3 linked regions of the Drosophila melanogaster genome follow. The protein of the gene in region 1 interacts with the protein of each later gene in a pairwise test. Each region holds a gene or a part of one and is shown on either strand. Other genes may lie near its edges. The genes, in order: CG12708, Lk6 and CG32369.

Region 1 (4,508 bases):
TGATGGTATTTAACCTATGAAGATGTCTTGTATTTTTGGAAATTCCCTTTGGGACTGATATATTTACGATCTCATTGTTTGAACTCGATGAACTCACAACACTTGAGCATATTTAATTGTGCCACCACCAGTTGCAATAAATTGTATCCTATAGCACTTGGTGGTCCGGAACTGCAGTGTCATATGAAATGCTAAAGCAGGTCCTGGCACTTCCTCAGCGAACAAAAAGTTGTGTTTAGTTTTTGCACAAAAACTGTCAAATAAATTTAGCAAGCAATAATATGGCGAAAGCAAATAGTAAAGATTCCAAAACTGAAGAATTGGGCAGATGTACGGTTGAGATTTAATTCTATTTTTCTCAAACGGACAATCGGCGGCTGCGAAAATATCATAAATTTGAGATCAGCAGAGAAAGCAGGAGGGAAAGTGAGGGAAGGTAGGAGCAGGACGGACCGGGAGCCCTTTAACCAATAAATTGCAAAACAATTGCACAATTTTCCACAACAATTTCCACAGGACAGCGATGTCCCATAAACAATGGGCCAAATTTGTACAATGCCCAAAGTTCCTGTTTGTGTTGTCCTTTTCTTGGCGAAAATCGTGAGAGAAGGAAGGAAAAATCGGAAAGAATTGCCTTGCTAGGGTCTAACGACTATAAGATACCTATTATTTAAACCTTTTATATATTTATGTTAGAAAAAGTTGGCAAATGATGCAAAACAGTTTCATCAATTAAACTAAATAATTGTAATCATTATTCCGATGAACTTGTTTAAACAACAACAGAAAGTCTTTTCAATATCAAATGAAAAACTAAAAATCCTTTAAGACCCAATGTTTTGTTCTAACTTCCTGTAACCCACACAATCACAGGTCTAGCATACTCTCAGGATCCCAAAAAAAACACAGGGTATCTTGAGGAGTCCAAGGTGAAAGGAGCCACACGCTGCGAGAAAGGTAATTGAAAATTATGTTTTGTGGCGCAAGCGGCGATGAGAACAGCTGTCCAACTATGCTCCGTCCCACTCACACGCTTCACAAGCGCCGTCCCTTTCTTGTTGCACGTAGGAATCCTTGGCCAACTGATCATGATCCTTCTCGGTGGCCAAATAAAAAATCTCACGATCGTGGAAAATTCGCACAGCTGTTGCCAGATCGTAAATCGATCGGTAAACGGTTATAAAAACTGAACATCAAGATAACGTTAATGTAGATCAAAGCGCAGCCTTCTGCTTTTCAATTTGTATCGCATTATCTAATAAATAGAAATATATTAGATAGTTTTGGGAAGTACGAGTCTACGAGAAGAGGTAATTGTATATATATATATATATATATACCAGATTCGATAAAAGGTATTGAAAGGGTATGCTTTTAGTTATAGTTGTTATCATGGGAAAAGTGAGAAATACGAATATTACAACTTATTTAAATAATTTATATTATTATCAATGTTGCAAAGTATCTTGCATAAGTTATTAAAGTCAAGTGGACTGATATCAGATGCGAAATACCTTTAATTACTATAACAACGAGTGGTCTCCCACCACCCGCTTTCAATGCCGCCGGTTGAACGTGCCTGCCGTTCAACTGCCTGATCTCTCCGCTCTCGCTCTCTTCCCTCTGCGCATGAGCAACATGTCCGTTCGTCGCCTTCTGCTTTCTCCCGGTTAAGGCGGCTAGCCAGTCAGTCAACCAACAACCGGCGAAGGGAACGCACGCAGTCGATCTTTGCCAGAAAAACGCGACGGTTGAAACGCAACACTTGGCAAAAAAAAAGCACTACATATACAAACTACCAAATAATCAATTCTTAAAATAAATCCGCGAACCATTTATTTTATTTTTTTGCTGTTGGAAATAAATATCAGTGCCGAAAAAAATAAACTACTGAAAAAGGTAAATTCAAGTGAACATCTAAAGATGACTGAAACTAAAAATGCAGTCATGTACAATGAGATCTAAAGGCTCATAAAAATAAATGGATATACCTAAAATAAATTACTTAAGTGCCTGTAAGATTCATGAATTCATTCATTAATGGTTATGAATATCTTTTCAAATAATTCCCAACATAACTGGATCAATGCAATTATAAATGCACAAAAATTCAATTTTTCGGATAACTTGTGATTTTTGGTTTTTTGGTATCCACTCAAGAGCCAAATTTGAATGCAACCTAAAAGTTCATTAAGATTTCATAAGAATAATTGAGCATATCAAGTTCAGAGTCAATTAAATTATTAAGGTCCAGACCAAAGGCTGCCCGTCGTCCATTTAATTGTCCGTGAGAGGAGTGGTTGATTTCGTTTTTGATTTCATTTTTGCCGCTTCGCTGATTTCGCCAAATCGATACACATCCATATACATATGTACATATGCATGTATATATGTATGTTTGTCTACATGCACATTTATCGCGGAAAAAGCGCGCCAAAATTGCCGAAAACTCGCCCGACAACTTTGCCGCTGCCCTCTTTATTTATTTGCTCCTTAAGAAAGTCAAGTTCTGGAATGCCAGAACCAGAAATACCCGCCCCCTTCCTAACCAGATTCCTTTGCTCTTTCCTTGCAGCACCCACTACAAAACCGAAAAACTAAAACTTCAGACAAAGAAGATGCTCAAGTGGGCCGTCAACCAGCCACGACCCTCGTACTTGGCCAGGGATGAGGTGATGGCCACCAGCAGCGAGGCAGTCGGCTCCAGCTACAGCGAGTTCCACGCCCTGCGTGGCAAACTCAAGAGGAAGTCGATCGGAGTGGCGCCAGGCAAGGAGAACCAGCTGACCTCCACGCCACTGCCGGCCAGCTCCTTGAGCCTCCATGCGCGCACACCACTGCTCAAGGACCTCAGCAACATCCTGGCCACGCCGCCATCGGGAGGAGCAAGTGGCGCTAATGGGGCAACTGGAGGTGTAACTGCTGTTCCCCTGAAGTTCGCCTGCACACTGCCCACCTTCGAGGCGGAGTACTCGCCCAATGCCGCCATCATTCCTGGCTCCCTGATCGCCCTGCGCGGCATGGGCATCCCGGACAGCTACTTCGAGAAGCCGCGTTACCTGGAGCAGAAGCCACTACCACATCCGCATCCGCATCCAGCACCTCCGACCGGCGAACAGAATACGCTCAGTTCCAGCCAGATGGGCGATGTGACCCTGGAGCGCATGATCGATGCCATCCTCGAGAGCAACCGCAAGGTGCTGCCCAACGCCAGACAGCAACAGCACCAGCATCAGCACCGCCAGCCCAGGCAGCATCTCCGCCAGCGGCACAGGCTCAGGCAGCAGGTGCTCCGGAGCAGCCACGGACACGGGCACGGCCCCACCCAGACGCCATCGCCCACCTACCGCCCCGCCTTCGATCCGGCCAGCGATCTGTGCGAGTACTGGAAGTCGCCCTCGCGGAGGGATTCCCTGCCAGCGGAGGGCTTCGAGGAGCGGGAGGTGCGCTCCCCCGTGCCCACCGTATCCGAATCGCAGGATGCCAAGCGGCATTCCCTGCAGCTGCGCAGGCAGCGGGTGGTGCGGCGCAAGCGAAAGATCACCACAAAGATCTCCTCCAGCGTCAGGCAGTCGGCGCAGAAGCTGCTTGCAGCGGCCAGGTCCGGATCCATAGCAGCTCCCGCCCAGAAGATGCGCCACATCAGTCCGGACAGTGGGCACAATTCCACCAGCGACTGCGAGCTGGAGGAGGAGCACTGCCAGCTGAGTCGCGGACTGGAGTTGGGTGGCGAGGAGCTGGAGGATGCCTGTCAGCTGGATGCCATGTGGTTGCAAGTGCAGGCCAGAGACGCCACGAAGAGACGCCTCAGCTTCTCCCTGGTGGAAGAAAGCTAATCCTCAAGGATATTCCTATACCATAGGCATAAGACATTTTTTTCATAGCCCTAAGAACGTTTTTTTTTTTTTTAATTTTTTGGCCAGAATAAATCATTTGGAATGCAGAATGTACGAAAAGAACCAAATTCACTGAGGGGCACACTGTCATAATTCGGTTGAAACCACAAGGAACCACCAGCAGTTTATGCTAAACACCTCTTGAAGCTCAGCGGTGCGTGGAAAGCAATTCCTCCAGAGCAGAGGGTCTGGGTCTTCTCATCCGTCTGCCCAAGTGGTCTTCTTTCTCACAGCGAGCTGGTTAATGAGCGTTTTAATGCTCCGATAGCGAGCTATAGGGGATTCCTCGGCAACATGGAACATAGAACTTGGCGGTAATGAGGGCCCTAAAAGGAAGGGGTTGTGCGACAATTGTCGCAAGAAAAAAAATATTATTTACGCTTCAAATGCCCACGAATTCGATGGGCAGGCAGCCAGCCAAGTTATGTGCGATCTAACGCGATAAGGTCTAGTACCTGGAAATGGAACAGGTATCACTTGCTCGGAACTCCATTCGAGTGTTATTAGCTCAAAGCGACCTTTGGAAAAGGAAGTTGCCTAACTTTCACCCGGGAAACTGCGATTTACCACTGCTTTCAGCGGAAACTATTCTCTGAAGGTATCATAAAATCA
Region 2 (5,127 bases), on another chromosome or scaffold:
AAATGACAAACAAATGAAATTAAATCACTCAGGGATAAAGCCTCCAAAAGAAAAACATAAAATAAAAATGCAATATTTTAAACGAAGTGAAAAAAGAAAAGAAAAATGAAACAAAACAAAAGAAAAGAAAAGAAAAGAAAAATTTAATCTAATGAGGAAGTACATTTTAAAGTTACAAATATTTTAGAATAATACGAGAAGAACAAACTAAAAATGTTTTAGAAATTTGCACAAATTTTGGCATTTTATAAACGCAAAACGAACCATCATCAACCAACTAAAATGCATAACGAACGAACAAACAAATGACGAAATAGATACATATTTTCTCACACTTCATTGGCTTATCGAAGGTATAAAATCGACAATTACAGGATAGATCTAGATCGCAACACAGCCGAACCGACGACGATCGACTTCACAGGCTGCTGGCAAACGGTCCGTGCAACTTTTAGTGCATTTAAATAAATTATAAACACAAAAACAAAAGCAAACACAAAAATGATCGAAGGAGCGTAAGCGAAACATAAGCAGTTCATATTTACAGGAGCTAAATAAGTAATGCGGGGGGTTTGCGGCCAAAGAGAAGTTAAATTGTAGTTAGAGGTGGATGGATTAATACCCTAGGATGGCATTTAGGGCAAGGATCAGACGAAAAGGGCGCGTAGCATTACACCTTTTACATTAAACGACGATACGATGCCGCGCATCCAATTTGAAACTGTACGTATTGAATTTATGTTTAGTGTCTGCAGCATGCGGGGGATGTGAAGGAAGGAAGGAGGGAAGAAAAAGGATCGACGGGCGAAGAGCTAAATACATTTAAGGGTTAGATTTTCTGCGAAAGGACTGAAGTTAAGGCAACGTAGCGTTTAAATGCAAAATTGAATTGAATTGAATTGATGACGAAACCGAGTGTTATGGATAATGGAGCGTGCGCGAATGCGATTGGTGACGAAAATTACTTGTTTTAAGGCTGGACTTATGTAATTTCGAGCAAAAACGATAGTAGCGAAACAAAAACATGTAAAATGCAGATATAATATTTTTATAATTAAAACAAAGGTACCCCCACCCCACTACCCTTATCTTAATATGTTTAATTCAACTGCAATTATCGTTAAAGACGTATTTACTGTTTGTGATCCAAATTCATTGATTAAACGTAAACTACACAAAGATACAATTGTTGCATGGGCAAGGTTTGAAGTCCGGGTTCGCAAAGTACCCACAAGTACTCGATCCCCGGGTCTCAAAGACGAGGAAATCACGAGTCAATAAGCCAGGTTTAAAACTTGCAGGTGCGTCGTCAATGGCTCGCAATATTTTCCGGTCGGGCCAAATCCGAAAATGGCCTGCCCGAAAATTATACACACCTTACAGGACCGAGTGTTAAGAGTACTTTTGGACTCTCTGCGAACCCATAGAAATAGAGCAGGAACAGTAAATTGTACTTAATTGAAAAATGATATAATAAAACACCGCCACTTTGAAATATATTTACTTGAATCAAATAATATTAATGAGTATATATAACTTTGTACTTGAATAATATTTTATTTATATTTACCTTAAGTCAATAAAAATTCTAATAAATTATAATCACCCAAAAATGCATTTTGTTCAAATGTCGAGGGGAGTTCTTTTCAACTGCTGATTGGAAAATTGATGCCTTTTATTATTGATATTTGCGAATACTGATTGACAAGCTGCGAACCTTGAGTAAACGTATTCTTCCCAAAAATAAAATATAAAATAAATAAAGAAGGCTAATAAGTTTCATAGTGGGGTGTAAATTAAACAATTCAAAAGAACCGCCCAACTGTGGTTTATAAGCTTGGCGCACTACGCCAAGTAAAATACATGTAGAAAACGTGACGGCGTTGCCACTCTTATTGTATTTAGCTAGTTTAACCACCAAATAAACAGCGAAGTTCTCAACCATATGTGAGTTGCGTAGCCATACTACATTTGAAGCAAAAAACCCTAGTGTCGCTGCCGTCTTGTGGTATTTTCGTTGGCCCGAAAAACGGTCCTACCAAAATGGTACCTCCGGCCACACGGATGAATTCGTCGTCATTCGTCGGAATCATTCGAACTTTGAAAATGGATCGGTAGCTGGGAAGGAAACTTAAAGCGAAATACGCAAAGAAAACGGCTTTTGTCCGCTATTCAGCGATTTTTTTTGTGTTGTAATCAGCAGAGGAAATTTTAACGACCAACTCCACCGCCACACCAGCCATCTCCAGCAGCTCCGGAAAATAAAATAGAACTAAATTAACGCCTCCATCACTACAACAACCATCTCACCAACAACTACAAGAGCAACAACCACAGCAACAGCACTACTGCACCAAGCCCACAAAGAAGAGGTGAAACGCAAAAATCGCAATACCCGAAGAAAAAAACAAAAAATATCGCAGATAACCGAAAAAAGCGGTGCAAATAGATAAACCCCATTTTTTGCTTGAGCTTTTTTCGCCTGTGTGATGAGAGAAATCAGCAGCAGCCATCGATTACAACAACAACAGCAGCCACACCAACGACGACTCAACCACCAAACCAAGAATAAATAAACAGCGGAGAGCGATAGATAGAGAGAGAGAGAGAGAGGAGCATCTGCAGCAGAATTGAATCAGTTTTTTCATCAACCGCCGCATTGTATTAAAAACACAAAAATCCCATAGGCGGCCACCATTTTGATTTTGAATGAACTGAACGAGAAGAGAGGAAAGAGCACGAGAGACTGAGAAAAACTGCTGCTCATTTGTTGCACCGTAAACCCTTTTTCCAGCTTGTAAGCACTCTGCCTGTCTCACTCTAATCGCGTCCAGGAGCACCGTACAGTAACAACAACAGCAACAACATGGTGGAGCCCAAGTCCGGGACAGCTGCTTCTGCCGCTGCTGCGAAAGCAAGCAACAACAATAACAACAACCACCCCCGTGGATCTGGGGACAGCGGCATCCGGAGTGGCAGCGGCATTTCCTGCAGCAACACGGACAACAGCTGCAGCCAGAGTCAGTCAGGTGAGCAATTTGAGTTTCTAGAACTCTGGGAGTTTGACACTAAATTCCCATAGCTGAGAAGCAAACTGTGATGCATGAGATATATTTTGGAAACCTTCTGAAGAGATTTCGCATATTTGCGCTTCGTGTGTCACCAGTTTAATTTTAACTAGACAACATGTTAACAGAATGATGAAATAATTGCAAATATTTGCTCTGACTGTGAATTTGGCAGCTCTTTCGTATAAATTTGAACTTCTACCTATTGGAAATTCACCTGTATCTCTGTCGTAATATTGTTGTATTGCCTAAATATAAAGTATATTTCGTAGGCAACAGTTATTTGCATGCCAAAAGAAAACAAAAGCCTTATTTAAGCATATAATTATTATTTTGAGAATGTGACAAACGTTCTTTGCTTCTTAAAGTTGTACCTATAAAATACGATTTGTAGGATATTTCTGCTAAAATGCAATGGTAAAAAAAAGATATACGTTAATGTAATATTTTGTATCGGAAGTTATACTTCCTCTAAAGTTCCTAACCATATGTATGTATTATTCTGCTTGTCATTGGGTGGGGACTGACTACCAATCAGAGAAAAGACCCGACCATTGCTCCTACGCTTTCATTCAGTGGATTTCTAGTCAGTTATCGGCAAAGCTGGGCCAGGCAGCACTTTCGTTTCGTTTACCCTTGCTAATCAATCGAACGAACTAGGGAGCATTGACTGACTGGGCCACGTTGCGCACCGGGTGCCGCAGTGTATTTCCTTGACGTCACACGATGTTCGAGAACATGCATGCTGTCTGCCTGCCGGCGCCCAACCCCACCACCCACTCCGCTTCCCTTCACCCACCCCGCACAGTCTGTGTGGTGTTTACAGTTGTTTTGTTTCGCCAAGAGAACCCCATTGCATCATTCGACTGGGGCCATTAAGCTGAATATAAGTGTGTATGTGCCCTAATTTTAGGGGTATTCCAGCATCTGGACTTTATAACCATCACTGGGGGTGTTATTATTGTACACAAGTTCTTAATTATATGTGGGATTTGATATATGCTATAAAATAACAATGACAAAGATCAACTAAATCCACTAATTAGTCATATTCTAACTGGAGGTTAAACTAGAAGTTTGTTGTTTTCGTTTAGATAGTGATTATAGTCCATACTTTGTGTTTATCAAAGATAATCTTATGAAACAGGACAGATTGTTGTGTAAATATGCTAGATACGGTTGGGTTGGACCACTGACATCCACTAATTCCACTAATATCCTATAAAATCGGGCATAAGTGAGCTGCTTTGAAAAATCATGAAATCCATATGGGTAAACTGCTGTACAATAGGAATATATTCACACATACATATGTAGATTTCAGCACCAATAGTTACCCTTTGTAATTAGACCAGTTGACTGGTATAAATTCGCATAATATGATTATCAATTTAAGCAATACTAGATTCCAAGCACAAAAGGGTATTCCTTTTCCCTGCCATTCCACCAACACCACCAAAGCTGCCGGCGAAGTGAGAGAGACGGCACTAGTATCTGTGCCAGCTAGCCGAGACCGAGAAATTGAAATTGAGCGTGTGCAGGCAGTTATGGAAATGGAAAATGACTCATGATGGCTGATCGATTGAGCGTAATGCACTGACACTCGTGTTCAAATGCGTATTCGTGCCCAAAATGCAGCGAACGCGGCGAAATGTGAACAAACTACGATTATAACCTTCATGACGTTTATTGCACTTGGTGTGACGTTCGTTGCTTGGCCTCCCACACATATAAAATGTGTGCGCCCATTAGGAGTTGTGCTGGAGTGGATTTTGCAGCTGCAATCAACTGAGTGCAAAACGCTGTCAATTGGAGCCCACCAGCTGGAAACTTGTTTTCCCCCCAACGATCCATAATAATTTTCCATAATTATCGAGAAGTTTTTCATTCTATCGAGGCCTATCGATAGGAGGACATCTAGTGGTGCCTACGTGCAGCCTCCTCCGATTCATGAAATCAGCCCAATATATCTCTGTCTCCCTTGCTCGTTTGCGCAAAAGCCCTGAGAGAGAAATTTATTTTTTAGCTGTGGCAATGCCGCAGTGGAAAAAACGTCAGC
Region 3 (4,691 bases), on another chromosome or scaffold:
AACATTGTATTGGACAAGGGAAAAGTTGGTAAACAAGCCAGAAGGCACTCGATTCTAATTGTTCCTGTTGCCGCTCGGCTTTGCGTAAGTAAAAATTATGTATACGCCTCATATAACTGCACGTGCATCCTGGTGCAATCGTGGTTGCAGTTCCGTGTACGTAAAGTCCTATTGCATAATCCGTATCCGATAAATTGTTCCTAAGTGAATAACAAATATGTGAAGCCCGGCTACCTGAACACGCCCTCAGGGCAATAGCTTATAGCGTAGATTGCTTTATTTTTCACAATATTATGCAATGTCAATCGTAGATACAAACAACCGTTGTCCGTCGTCACTCAGACAAAATGGCAGCGTTGACATATAATATGTGTATATAGCTACATTTACAACGGCGTTTGTCAGTATTCTAAGTCAACTGAATTCAGGCATTGTTTGCCTTAAGTCCGATAAGTGATTGTAGGCGCGCAGTGATTGAAGTCGATAAAGGAACTTACAGCACTAAATGTGATAAACTCATTGAGCGATTGTTGAAATAATTACTATTTGCTTGCTTGTAAAGAACTGATTGAAAACGACAGTTGTTCTGTATCAACTATGAAATTGCTATCTTATGAAAATGAGTCAACAAATGATTCATCTTCATGAACATTCATGTACCCAAATACGATATGAGCAACAGCTCAGGTGTGGAAATTCCTACAAAGTTGTTTAAGTCTTTCACCAATTTCCTAAAATCCCAAGAACTTCTGATAGAGTTCTTTAATCGCCAAGTAATCACGCCACATAAGCCAATAAATTGCATAACCAAGTGATTATGCTCCGATGGTAGTTTTCGACGTAATTATGAAATCGCATACATTTTCATTGCCTTAATGTTGGCGTTTATTTGGTTTTGTACATTTTGATTTCTTCTTTGATATTTGTTTTATTGGTTTCTCATTTGTCTTGCCGTTTTTTGCTTGGCTCACACGTTTTATGACATTGTATTCGAATGGACGACAATGACGACGGCGATAAACGCTGATATAAATAGCTCAAAATAACTACAAAAGAAACTGGGCTGAAGAATTTATTGAGGCAAGCCAATTAGCAACCAAAAATTTCTACATAGTTTGTGATTTTTCAGGTTTTCGGTTTTGATTTCACACCGATTACACAAGAACCCCCACATTCGCTGTGACTAATTGGCCCGGTCCCTTTGGGCCTTACATAAGTTCGGTGTAGTGTTTGACTTGGTTTATATAACAACGATCCAGCTGTTTGAAGTCTGGCTTCCTCGATATTCGACTCTGAGTCATGACGAACCTTTTTCGCCCGATGACGTATGCAAATAGGTTTTTCCTCTTTTCGAGCTAACCATATTTTTTCAGCATTTCCCCAACCCCTTTGGCGTTTTTCGTTTTGGGCCAAGTGGGCGAACTGTGTTGTTGCGGCTTGTTCATTGGCAGCAAACGTCGCATAATACTCGTAGTACATTGCGTGTCGTAACGCTAAACGTCAACCGAGTGAGAGGGGCATATGCGGTCGAGGGGGGGAGAGGGAAGGAGCCCAGTTTCTCGCTTTGGTAGCTGACGAATATTGGGTGGTGACCCCGACAAATTGGCGAATCTTTAGTAGATTATCGGGGATTGGAAACTGTTAACCAGAGAATTACGAAAGCGATGACAACGCGACAGATTCAAGGAAAATGAATGAAATGAAAATGAAAAAAACTGACGTTTTTTTTTACCAGTTATATTTTATATACTTTAACTTTGTATATAAAATTTGTGTCAACTATAATTTAACGAGGTTGAATTGTTTATTTTCTTAATTTTACTTCTTTTAAAATTCCCAAATCGTTCTTTCCACCATTTGTTTTTTGCTTATCTGAGCTAATTTATCGCGAAATCGTTAAGATATATATTTTTCCACGGAAGTTTTATCACACATTAAATATAAATGATTATCAAGTGCAGGCCGAATTCAATTGGCCACAGAACGTCAACAAAGCAGCGCGGAAAAAACGCTTAGTAATGCCTTTAAAAATATGGCAACACGTAAGAGCCGCCCCTGCAGTTTTCCCTCCGCTAGACTCAAGCAGTGCACTTTTTGTTTTCACAATCATTGCAGATAGCAAATGAAAAACTGTTTTCCCCGACAAAGAGCGAAAAACTAAGAGAGAGACTTGAATGTGCCAATCTTTGAAAACGCAACTTTGTCGAGCGTTCATTCACATTGAAAACAGAGGCATAGCATGTGGTTTGATGTCGTAACACACACAAAGAGAACCCGAAAGAGTGGCAAAGAGAGCGCAGAAATGGAATTACCTGTCGCTGTTGAACCGCGCCTCCTTGTTTTTCCCCAAAAAAGGGTAGGTTTTTCGCGGGGGGTGCGGCGTGTACTGTTGCTCAAGAATCACACACAGACACACACACTAACACACGAAATTCTCCCTCTTCTTCTTGCAATTTATTTAAAATTTTGTTGTTGTATTTAGTTGTATATATTTTTGTTTGCCAAAAATTTATAGCCACACGCGTGCGAAAAAATCGAATTGGGGAATCTATTCACTCGTGTTATGTGTTGTTTGATATTTATATATATTTTTTTTTTTGTTTTGTAAGAACTTGGAACGGCGCTTGTCCGTCGGCTTTACGTAACCCCGCCGCACACACGGGTTAACTTTTTTTCTTTCTTTCTCGTAAAGGGTGTGCGGCAATTTGGGGGGGGCTGCACTTGGACCCCCTTTTTATATTTTGTGACTAATTTATTTATTTCATTTATTCACACCGAGAAACACGCGAGCGAGCACCTTTATTTTATTTTATTTATTTCTTTGATTACGTTGGCGTTTGTTTTGTAATACGCTTACGTTACGCGACGAGACAGAAAGAGAGAGAGCGAACGCACTGGGCGAAAGAAATAGCGACAACAGCAGCAACGGCGGCAACGTGTTCGAGTGGCTCGGCGATGATTTGCTTATGGGGTGCGCTCCACTTTGTTGCTTTTTTATTTGCCTTTTTTATTATTCATACTTTTTTTTTGTATAATTTTTATTATTTTGCTTTTTGTATTTGTATTACGGCCTGGTTTTTTTTTTCAAACTCTCCCTGCTGTCTGAACTTGCCACGGCCGCTGTTCAACAGCGAATGACTGCTGTGAAAAGTCAGTCGTTGGCTTGGAGCGAAAAATTGGCGCTCTCTTTTGGGGTCGACTCTCTTACGCCTCCGTGGATGTGTCTGTTGCGTCATCGATGTCTGTGCCTTGAGCTCTCTTTGTTTAGCACTTCTCTCTCTGGCATTTTATTTTTTTTTTTAATTTTTGCCGGCAAACCGTCAACTGTCACAACAGGCGACGCCAAGAAAAATGATGGGGCAGCGGGGGCTGCGGTGGGTGATTTGCAAAACTATTGGGTTGGGGGATAGTGGGTGGTGTTGGGGGTGCTAGTTTGCCAGTGGGCGTCATTTATCGTATGATGCGCATTTCCGGCGCCACTCAACAGACTACAGCCATATAAACACCAAGCAAACATCAATAATCACAACAGATACGGTCGATTTTCTGTTACTTAAACTAAATTACATATATAAAATTTTGTAATTTTGTTTAATACGCAAATATAGTTTTTAGATTATGTAAAATAGAATAAAAGCTTACTCAAATAACTTATAAAATTAATAACGAAATTTGTATAACAAAATACACAATAGATTAAACTGTGAAAATATAAGTTGATTAATTCTCAGACATGTCATTACAAGATGTATTAATTTTATAATCCTTAAACAGGTTTTGAAGCTATAGATTTCCTATCCCGATAGAGCTCAGAGTTGTTAAAGTTCGTCTGTAATATCGAATATCTGCGTTTCGTAAGTGTTGTGTGGCTATTACATATTGTTTTGTCATTTAACGCAAATTACGTATACGACGCGTTGACCTCATTTGGGTTGATCAACAAATGCAGTTGTCGACAAACTTGGCTTATAACAACCGCGTATCGCTTCCCCTCCCCCTACTTCCCGTCTTTCTCTTTTGGCTCCGCTTGGCTTGTATTTCAAGCTCAAGTTCAACGTTGTCTGTTAGCGGTTGCCTGCATACTACCAGTTTTCATGCTGCTGCTGCTGCTGCTGCTGCTGCGTTTCCATTAACATTTTGAGTGGCCGTTGTTGTTAACTCATTTTTCGCTTTCGTAAGTCTTGGACAGTATAAAAATATGCGGGGCGGGCGAGTGGAGTCCGCTTATGTTTGAGCATTGCTCGCATTTATTGCAACATTTCCCCATAGGGAAGTAATCGAATTGCTTTGCCTCAGGTCTGGGTCTGGTTTAAGCCTGCATTCAAAAAAAAAACAAAGCTTGAAAGTTTACAGATTAAAACATATTAAAATTAACAAAATTTATTCTAATATATATTTTCAAATTTCTGAGTTGTAGAATCTCAATAATCTTTAATTGTTTAGCAATTAACGTTATTTTAGTAGTACCATATATTTTAATACCATGTACAATTATATAATTAAATTTTGACTGTGTACCGGTTATACAGCTCCCATTTCTCAAATAGTTGGCGCTGCTTTTGTTGTTCATCAACGGAAATTAGCTGCGAGTTTCATGTTTGAAATGTTTATTTTGTAAGCAATATATGAGGAAATTAGTTTCAGTTTTTTTTTTTTGCTTTATTATGTTTTTTGCATAATAGTGTATATCA

The links.
Region 2: the proteins of CG12708 (region 1) and Lk6 interact in a two-hybrid assay, tested with the Drosophila melanogaster proteins (one large-scale study listed by BioGRID).
Region 3: the proteins of CG12708 (region 1) and CG32369 interact in a two-hybrid assay, tested with the Drosophila melanogaster proteins (one large-scale study listed by BioGRID).

The regions. Positions count from the first base shown.
Region 1 is NC_004354.4:15,673,789-15,678,296, forward strand, and holds CG12708 (uncharacterized protein), read left to right. Parts: upstream 1-1,687; 5' UTR 1,688-1,899; exon of another isoform or gene 1,900-2,015; intron 2,016-2,575; 5' UTR 2,576-2,618; coding exon 2,619-3,836; 3' UTR 3,837-3,949; downstream 3,950-4,508.
Region 2 is NT_033777.3:11,761,386-11,766,512, reverse strand, and holds the start of Lk6 (Lk6 kinase), read left to right. Parts: upstream 1-2,055; 5' UTR 2,056-2,866; coding exon 2,867-3,029; intron 3,030-5,127.
Region 3 is NT_037436.4:7,806,685-7,811,375, forward strand, and holds the start of CG32369 (uncharacterized protein), read right to left. Parts: upstream 3,142-4,691; 5' UTR 2,313-3,141; intron 1-2,312.